2 linked regions of the Schizosaccharomyces pombe genome follow. Changing the gene in region 1 together with any one later gene gives a genetic interaction. Each region holds a gene or a part of one and is shown in the gene's direction. Other genes may lie near its edges.

Region 1 (5,270 bases):
GTCTTGCTCTAAAATACTTTCATGATAACGGTATCATATACCGTGATCTTAAGCTTGATAATATCCTTTTAAGCCCAGATGGTCATGTTAAAGTGGCCGATTATGGTTTGTGTAAGGAAGACATGTGGCATGATAACACTACTGCCACGTTTTGCGGTACTCCTGAATTTATGGCACCGGAAATCTTATTAGAACAGCAATATACGAGAAGCGTTGACTGGTGGGCTTTTGGTGTACTAATTTACCAAATGCTGCTTGGTCAATCTCCATTTAGAGGAGAAGACGAAGAAGAAATTTTTGATGCAATTTTATCTGATGAACCTTTGTATCCTATTCATATGCCAAGGGATTCCGTTTCTATATTACAACAACTTTTGACTCGCGATCCTAAAAAACGACTTGGATCTGGCCCTAACGATGCAGAAGATGTCATGACTCATCCATTTTTTAGTAACATTAATTGGGATGACATCTATCATAAGCGAACTCAACCACCGTACATTCCAAGTTTGAATTCACCTACGGACACCAAGTATTTCGATGAGGAATTTACCCGAGAACTCCCAGTTCTTACTCCTGTTAATTCTATTCTGACGAAAGAGATGCAGCAACATTTTGAAGGTTTTTCTTATTCATGCGAGGATGATAAACCCTCGACTACCGATAATGCTTAGCACCTTAAATTGAGCATAAAGTTACTCTCATTTTCTTAATCTTTCATTGCATTGATAAATTATTCTAATTTCGACTTTTTAAACTAAACATTTTTGGATTTCTTTACTACCTGGGTTGTATCTATGATATTATAAGCATGCACATTAATAATCCATACAGTGGCATTAGACTTTTGTTTATGAAAGCACTAGCAAAGTAGTAATTTACTGAGTTTAATAATTTACCGTTTATTGGTCAACAGCTATAGTGCTAATATATGTTAATATCCATCGCATTTGTATCTATGGAGCAAAATTTTTGGATACATTCAATGAAACCCGCCAAATATACCTATGCTTAAGTAATTGCTTTAGTGCAACCCTGCATGTGGGTCTTCTGGTTGTCTTTCGGGATCAAGTTTGATACTAGTATCGATACGTAAAATAGCAATGCATGCCTCAACGGCGCTCTTCAAACTTTTCAACTTAGACATGGATGGCTCAAGAACACCAGCCTTAACATTATCACGAATTACGCCATTAAGTAAATCAAGACCATAATTTTTGTATCCCCGTTTCTTAACATCTGTAACCTCAGCATTTTGACTGGCTGCGTGATAAGCACGCAACTTAGCTGTCAGTTCAGTAGAGTCTTTGGCGGCATTGACGGCCAAAGTTCTGGGAATAATTAACAAAGCTTGTGCAAACTCAGCAATTGCAAGTTGCTCACGAGAGCCCAAAGAGGTAGCAAAATTTTCCAAGTAAATGCTCAGAGCTGTTTCCACAGCGCCGCCACCAGGAACGACTTTGCCGCTCTCAAGAGTGCGTTTGACGACGCTTAAAGAATCATGCATTGAACGCTCCATTTCATCTAAAGAGTATTCATTGGGGCCTCGCAGAACAATTGATGCAGACGAATAAGCTTTGGTTCCTTTGACAAGAATACATTCATCATCCGAAAATTTTTCTTGAACAACCTCTTCAGCCGAGCCCAAGTAGGAACTTTCAAAGGTTTCTTCACCCTCTAAATTTGACAATGAACTGAGTAAGGTAGCACCGGAAGCCTTGGCGATACGTCTCAAATCTTCCTTTTTGCATCTACGAACAGCCATTGCGCCAGCTTCAATAATGGATTTCAAACAGAGATCATCAATGCCCTTTGTGGTAAGAATAACATTGGCACCCGCATTGAGAATTTTTTTGACGCGTTCCAGCGTAATCATAACTTCTCGTTCACGGATCTTTTCAAGTTGATCGGGGTCATCAATCGTCACATGCACACCTAACGCCATTTTAGTTTTTTGCAAATCCATATCCAAAACAGCAATTTTAGCATTCTGAACACGAGTTTTCATAGCTTGACTGGCAATGGTACAATTTAAAGCATAACCTTTAACCAGGACGGACTCTCGAGAACTTTTGCCATGTGCCTTCAAAATGTTGACAGCTTTAACAGGGTAACGGGTCTCACCCTTAGAATTAGAAGTTTTGACGGAAAGCATTGCGTCAACAGCCATGGTTGAAAAAAAGTCTGAATCATTACCAATAATTTTTGAAGACATACTGGTTTTGGCAACGTTAATAAGACTCTCTTTTCCCAAACTATCTACGCTGCAGCTCAAGACATCTGTCATAAATTTTACGGCTTCACGGATAGCAAGTCGATAACCGGTTATAATAGTAGTGGGGTGAATTTTGTTTTTGACAAGCTCATTCGCACGTCTCAACAATTCAGCCGCAATAATGACAACACTAGTAGTTCCATCACCTACTTCTTTGTCTTGTTGTTGAGCTAATTCAACCAGCACTTTACCAGCAGGATGTTCAACATCCAATAATGATAAAATGGTAGCACCATCGTTTGTAACAGTAACATCCTAATACAAGTTAGATAGAAATAAAAGAAAGTAAGAAAAAATATAATAAAAGATGAACTATAATGGCAGGAATACTTATTAATTCGATTCACAATATAAGGTTGACTCTTCCCTGCCAATTAAGATTTCCTTAAATGCGAGAAGATTACAACACTAGCGTATCAAATCAATAAATATTGGTTAAAGGCCAATATCCCCCATTATTGTCTAAAATTTTCTTTTCTTCACGAGGTCTTTAACATACACCAATATCGTCAACGAGCATTTTGTCTAACCCGACAGGACCCAAGGATGATTTGACGACATTCGCAATTGCGGTCGTTGCCAAAACTAAAATGTTAAAAGTTATGAAAAGAAAATTAACATACCATTTTGGTTTCGTACGTCCTCTCCACTGATTTTTTCACCACTCAAAACTACAACATGTTAATAATTTACCATCCAGCGCAATATTGGATGCTTACAAAGAGTGGATTCTCTCGGTGCTTGAAACATTTCAGCTAGATTCGATGTTCTCCTCTAAACTGATTAACAATCTTTGTTTACACGTTTGGCAGACGTCGAGGGAGGAAGGTTCTTTGAAATGTACTAAAAGCATTCAAACCCTCTAAGTGTTACCTCATATAGCGTAATGTTACCCTCTTGGTGGAAACTAAAATTCTGCAACACAAACTACCTGTGCACTATTTGCAGCATAGGGACAATTAACAAATTCAATAATTTTGATTTACGAAGGATGTCTTTCACGTTTGAAAGCATTATGTAAATTTATCGACTGCATTAAAAAATATAACAATTTGGTTGACTACACTGTATTTAATGATAGTGCAGTTTAATCATTGAGAAAGCCCGGTCAGTTTGTTTACCACTGTATAACTAACAGTTTAAAAGCCCTTAAAAAAAGACAACTTAATGAAACTAGATACTTAAATTACTAAAAGCTGTAAGGGAATTGAAGTTTCAACTGTCTTTGTGCTTCAATTGCAGTGTAAAAAGTTACGCTGTTTTAGCAAAGCACAAAAGACAAATTTTGCAATACTCAAAGCTATTTAACTATAAATTTTTTAAATTTTGAAAATGTTAATAAGTATATCTATTTGCATTTACGAAATTGCCTATTTTAAATCGGTAAAGACCAAAACCCTTTTTAGAAACGTATTAAAGATATGTTAGGAAGGCTGGCAAGTGATTCAATTGCATGACCAAGGCTGGATTAAGACAACACGTATTGCTAAAATACTTGTATCTAATTATGAAATTTCCACAATACTATCTGAACTAATAACGAGTATTGTTTACTTCTTGTTTGCTCCAACAACGAACTAGAAATACCGAAATAGGGGTCGTCAAGAAGTTTCTATTTTAATAATTATCAATAATGCACTTAAATACTTGGACCTAAATGAATAATAATATATATGAAGGCTGATATATGTATAACGATAAAGAACGAGCGGATGGCTGGATACTTATTTTCTCGTCAGCGTGACGCATTTTAAACATCGCTATAGTAGTCATCTAAAGTTATATATACATATTAAAAGTACACTTGCAACCAAATGTACTTTTTCAGAGATTTCTTTTGGCCAAACAAACTAATGCTCTAAATTGAGTAAACACGAAAAAGAATTGGATTTATAGTGCACCTTTCATTCTAGTACCGCAGTGTTACAGAATTATATCACGCAGTATGAAGAAGCGCACTACTCAAGCGAAAAAATCAGGGCAAAACACTAATATTCGCGACGTGTTTCCACATGTAGTTCGAAGTAATTCAAGTCAATCCCACATAGGGAAGAAAGTGAGTTCTGAACAGTCGCCTACACCCGATGTTACAATTACAACCAAAACCTTGGATGAGAGAATTAAAGAAGACGATGAGCTTTCAAAAGAGGTAGAAGAGGCTTGGAATCAAATTATGGCTGAAAGGATTAGTGAACCAATACATTGTGAAAATATAACCAAAGTAGAGTTCATTTTGCATCACTTTGACACTACGGCAAGATATGGACCATATCTTGGTATGACAAGGATGCAACGCTGGAAACGTGCAAAAAACTTCAATTTAAATCCTCCAGAAACAGTGGGAAAGATATTGATGCTCGAGGAAGCAGATGAGGAAAATCGAAAAAGAGAATCGCTCTTTTATGATCTTCAAACCATTCCAGGCTAGATTATTTTTATATCTTACATTTTGTAGGTCTTTAAGATGAATCTTGACCCGTATTCTCTGCAGTACTTTCGGCTTTCTCACCTAAAGAAGGTATTGGTTGTTCGTCTGCATTGGGTACAGTCCCATGAACTCGAACTTGATACAAGCATGTGTAATTGGGATTTCCCCAGTTGCTTTTTATTTTTAAGATCACATTCTGTATCGGTTCAGCGACAATATAATTGGAGGATTCAAACGAAAAAGTTTGAATAGAGTCTTCCGTTAAAGAATATCTCGCCTTTCCCAACAATACAAACATCTTGCTGGACATTCCCTGAACCCACAACTCAAAGTCCTTGGGAGCGCTAGAAAGATCATGAGCAATCTTGTGCTGAACGTGCTCTATTGTGACATTGGTTACATATACAGGGCGTGATAGGGAAATTCCTAATTGTCCCTCTGAACCTTGAAAGCTCCAACACATCGCAACTGCGTTGTTGGGAGTTAATGCTATGCTAGGTTCGTGTCCTCTAACAACGAGCGAATCAAAGAAATAGGAGGTAAATCGTGGTATGAATGCAGATGGTC
Region 2 (5,079 bases), on another chromosome or scaffold:
CATATACACGTAAAATATCATCAATTGGTTTGAGCCCAACGCAATAATGACTGCGAATGTTTGCTGTTAGATAGAACATTCCTTTTACTTTTTTTTTACTTTTACGGAAAAAGTATGTAGAAAGGCAAAGAAGGAGTTCTTTACACTCACTCGCAAAATTCCAATTCCACTTTCAATTGCAAAAAAAAATGCAATCCACAATTAAACAACCTCTAAGGAGAATACAGAAATCATCGCTTCCCACCTAATATATCTCACAGCGCATCCTAACGAATACAGTACCAAATTCAATAAAAAGACAACTAAAGAACGAGGATCAAATACGGTACTGCGCTACATCTCATAGCCGAGGTATTCTAAATAGATGCCAGTTAAGGTAAAATAAGCTTCCAAAAATGCAACTTAAAAAAGAATAGATTGTTGAAATGAAAAGTATACTTCTACAAAAAGGATGTTGGGAATAATTCTGTCATACCATACCGTGAATGTCGCAGAATGTTTCAATTTCAGTAGCACTGGCATTTTATCTTTTCTGACTTATTTTCAGTCCGGCTGTTCCCTTCTCTTTTGGTGTCCCTGTTGTCTTGGACAATTTGTCACCCCAAGGACCCTTGTACTTGGTTGTTTAAACAACTAGCTCGTTAGATTGGAATTTGCTTTTCGGGAATTCTGGGACTTGCTTACTCTCCGTAACCTCATTTCTTTTCTCCTGTCTCTTGCATTTCACACACCAATCCAAACAAGTTCAGCGTGAGGACTGCTTTAACATCCGTGATCGAGCCTAGACGGTTGTCCCAATGTTTAACAAGGAGCTCGATGTACTTTTTTATTTGGTCCGTTGACTTTCCGCAAACATGCAGTGAGAGAATACGGAAGTGAAGAGAATTTCGGTAATGTATCGCACGCACATATAGGAACAAGAACAATTCATATCCATCTATGTCTCTTCCGGTTTATCTGAATGATTTGTTGCTTTCTATTAATTCGTTAACCAAGCAACCACGAGGCCCCATCATTCTGCCAAATTGACTTTCACAATCATTGCACAACTATTGCTTCAAGCTCCCTACAAGGTATCCAGTGAGTATCAATATTTTAGCAGCATCGATTTGTTACTTACTGTTTGGAAAAAAATCGGGGCAGATGAGCACAAACAAAAAGCAACAAAACTCTGAAATTTTTATATAAAACATGGATTCTCAAACTCCGATCCCACAAAATCCCTCTACTGCTTTAGTTTAACCTCAGGGGAAGCGGAAACCGACAACTGTCCGCAGAACCGTTATTGGCTCGTTTGTTCCAAACTCTAGCAGTGCGAAAGTGAAATTTTTACAGTATGCAGGCAGGTCCTTCTTGCAAGACACTATAAAGTAAAAGTTTTTTAAACAATTCGACATTCCGGCGAATGTGAAAATGTAACTGTGTGAAATGTTGACTATACAAGTGCATTAAGCAAAAGATCTCATCGTAATTTTCGATCTTCAATTTATCAAACTTTCAACCGTTTTTAAACCGTATGACCTTTTAATACGTAAACAGTTTCTCATTTTTTTTATGTTTTACTGCATTAATCACACACAATAAGATTTTATTTCCATTTCATTCAAGTTGCCAAGTTATTTCTATTTAGTATATTAACAACTAAAACACAACTGGCTGGCTATGCAAGTAATTATTATTCTCTAACATAGAGATTCTTATTTTTTTTGGTACACAAGTTTATGAGTCGTTAAAACCTTTTTAAATCGTGCAACATTGATTCATCTCAGTATACTCGATTATCCCTGTGTTCGATATCCCGCAGCTGTAGCCGATACTGAATGTTAACAGTCCACAGTCTATTTATAGCTAGCTCTCTGATATCGGACAACAGGCAATACCGCTTCATTGACCTCTCGTGACAAGCGGCTTTTTTATAAAGGATGTATTGATATCTTTGAAGAAGAAGAAAATCGGCAAGTTTTTCATTTTACTTTAAACATTTGAATTTGGTTTTGCTATTCTTGCTTTTCCTTCTACAATACTTTTCCATATGGGGTAATAGTGTGACCGATCAACATTGCGTTATTTAATATTCAGATTTCAACGGAATAAAATAAAACCTCAATTTAAATTAATGTAGTTTTGATATACATCTTTAATAAGTAATATAGTAAGATACAGAAATCACCTTAACCATTTCTAGGGCACTATGTTGGCCTACCTTTCCTCCTATTAATTAACATAATGTTATTAATTTACAATCATCAAATAAATCGAAAACCCACTTTTTATGCTATAGGAAAGGGTTTGTAGTTCATTTACTTCGTTGGGGAATTTGCTTCTTTTACTTTTGTGTGATAAAACTCGATAGACTAAATATATGGATTCATCATGATTGTTCAAGGTTGAGAAAAATGTTAATTGTATGAAACGAAATAAACCCACATGATGTTTGTTCATCCTCAATTAGTAAACATTCACCTTTATTGAGCTTCTTTCTCTTTTCGTCAAGTTTACCTCTTTGTTTACATTTAAAAAAAGATGTTCTTCAAACACTTTATTGTTGTAGGTAACAACAGCTAGTCATGTTAGGAACCACGACTTTCTCATATACAACGTATTCTTACTTGTTGATCTGCTGCATCCAACTCCTTTGCTTATTCGAACCTTCTAAACCTGGTTCCATTCCATGAAATTGATTCCCCTTAACCTTGCATAGCACACCTTTGAAGTTCCTTACTCTTTACATATGCTGCTTGTGTAAATTAGTCAATAACATTTAAAGAACTGATTTTATTGAAAAAACAACAAAAGCGTTATTATATTTATTCCTCTTTTTTTTAAACAGGTGTTTTGGGGCCGTTCATAGGTTTTTTGGGAAATCATATAAATATATATATATATATATATATATTTTTTTCCGCACATTTACTTGCAATACTCGCTCGTTTTAGTAATTGCATGAATCGTAGACAACTCTTCACTCTCCATTGTTGTGAAATTTTTCGTGGAGCATCTCGATTTAATATCCTGACTACTCCTTTGGTAAGTGTTTAACTTACCTAACTGTATATATTTACAAAATAATCATGGTTGAAGTCAGACATTCAATTCCTTGTGAAGAAACTAAACGCTTGGAGCTTAGTTTAAGTCAGCAAACGTATAGTCAACAGTACGCCAGCATCTATTTCGCCCGACTTACCGCTCTTCGACCCAGAATCACAGAAGCCGCTTCAAAAAAATGGCCGGATAAACAGCGATTGGAACGCGTTTTAGATGTTAAGTCAGATGAAGACTGTTGGGTTGTCGCTACCGCTTATATGACTACAGCTCTTAAGCCAAACGTTATGAACGATGTCACACAACTTCATACAATTGTCACCACTACTGAAGAATCTCCGTATGTTAGCCCAGAAGATGCTGCTTCAGGTGATATAGAATATGCTCTTGAGGATGACTATGGCCGTATAGATTGTAGCGGAAGCTTTTTGTATGACGCTGGCGTTGTTACAGGAGTTGTTCTTGCAGTTTTGGGCCATGAAGATGAACAAGGTCGTTTCGTTGTCGTTGACGTTTGTTTTCCAGGCATCTTCTCTCATTCCATTCCAATGACTACAGATGAATCGCAAGCTCAACCAGAGTACATTGCGGCAGTCAGTGGCTTAGGTCTCTCAAATGACGGCATAGAAGGCATTCAAGTTCATCAGCTTGTAGATTTCCTAAGAGGAACACTTCCACATGTCTCTTCCTTTTCCCCTTCCTCCATCAAAAGGCTAATTATTCTCGGAAATTGCTTAGCACCTTCTATAGAAATTGCCGACTCCGCTTCTGCGTCCGTGCCCATTGGCAAGAAAAAAGTAAAAAGATATGGCTATGACACGTCTGCTTACAATCCAAATCCCACCTTCCAACTAGATAATTTTCTTGATCAAGTGTGTTCCAGCATAGATGTCACTTTAATGCCTGGTCCTTATGATTACAGTTCAACTATCCTTCCTCAACAGCCTTTGCATCCCGCTTTACTTACTAAATCAAAAGTTTGGTTGGGATCTTCTTTACAAACAGTTACGAATCCCACTTGGCTTTCTCTTGGCAATCATTTTGTGTTGGCTACTAGCGGCCAAAACATTAATGATCTCCGAAAATATCATCCCAAAAAATCTTCACTTCAATGCATGGAAAACACTTTACTATGGAATCATATCACACCTACCAGCCCTGATACCTTATGTAAGTAATCTGTACATTTTTCAAACGATATATTTGCTAATGATTTTAGGGTGCTATCCTTTCACCGACAAAGATACATTTGTAATGGAGGAAATGCCTGATCTATATCTTTGTGGTAATCAACCGAAATTTGGCTGCAAAACAGTCATTAATGAGGGAAACAGAATACAATTGGTTTCCGTTCCCGAATTTCGTAAGACTGGTGTACTTGTTCTCATAAATATGCATACGCTCAACGTAGAAATTATTCAATTCCGCCCCATGTCAGTCAAAGCAGAGACTCCAATTACTTCTTAATGCAAAATATCTTGAATATTTAATCATGTATTTATTAAATAAATAAGTTTTTTCTTACTGTTGTCATCATAATTATCTGATCTACACGTCTCATTGAGTTCTTTTGTCAAACAAATGAGAATTATTACCACTGTGGAACGTGAACTCCGTAGGTTCAAAAACGTTAGTTGCATTCTGTAGGGAGCGCTGGTTTTTAGGAATTCCTAATTGGTCTAATAACTCAGTCGACTTGGTTGGCATTATAGGTTGTAGGAGAATTCCGCTAATGCGTAGGCTGTGAGCTACTAACATTAAAGTGTCAATCTTTTCTTGAGAATCATCTGATAATTTCCAAGGTTCTTTCAATTGAAAAAGCTTAGTGACTCTTCTTAAAACAGACTGAACAAGATTAATAACCTCGTAAACACACCCACCATCTATGCTTTGCGCGCAAACAACAGGAAGTTCTATAAGTTCGTGTACAATATCTTCGTATTCTGTAAAATCATCCTTTTTATGCCATTGCTTCTGTATTTCATTGGAAATGAACAGTTTCTTCGATTGCAATCGAGAAAGTAGCACACCTAAAGA

What was found.
Region 2: of cdm1 (region 1) and cdc1, extra expression of one rescues a mutant of the other (dosage rescue), as found in Schizosaccharomyces pombe (2 studies listed by BioGRID).

What each region holds. Positions count from the first base shown.
Region 1 is NC_003423.3:2,305,191-2,310,460, reverse strand, and holds cdm1 (DNA polymerase delta subunit Cdm1), read left to right. Parts: upstream 1-4,087; 5' UTR 4,088-4,220; coding exon 4,221-4,703; 3' UTR 4,704-4,734; downstream 4,735-5,270. Other genes in the region: protein kinase C (PKC)-like Pck2, read left to right, coding at 1-674; chaperonin-containing T-complex alpha subunit Cct1, read right to left, coding at 1,025-2,530, 2,775-2,860, 2,899-2,946, 2,995-3,025; protein Sad1, read right to left, coding at 4,735-5,270. UniProt on the Schizosaccharomyces pombe protein: Appears to have a role in the stabilization of the DNA polymerase delta complex.
Region 2 is NC_003424.3:4,011,979-4,017,057, forward strand, and holds cdc1 (DNA polymerase delta small subunit Cdc1), read left to right. Parts: upstream 1-3,071; coding exon 3,072-4,212; exon of another isoform or gene 4,213-4,261; coding exon 4,262-4,509; 3' UTR 4,510-4,579; downstream 4,580-5,079. Other genes in the region: SPOM_SPAC27E2.14 (uncharacterized protein), read right to left, coding at 544-633, 685-699; msm1 (methionine--tRNA (Met) ligase), read right to left, coding at 4,600-5,079.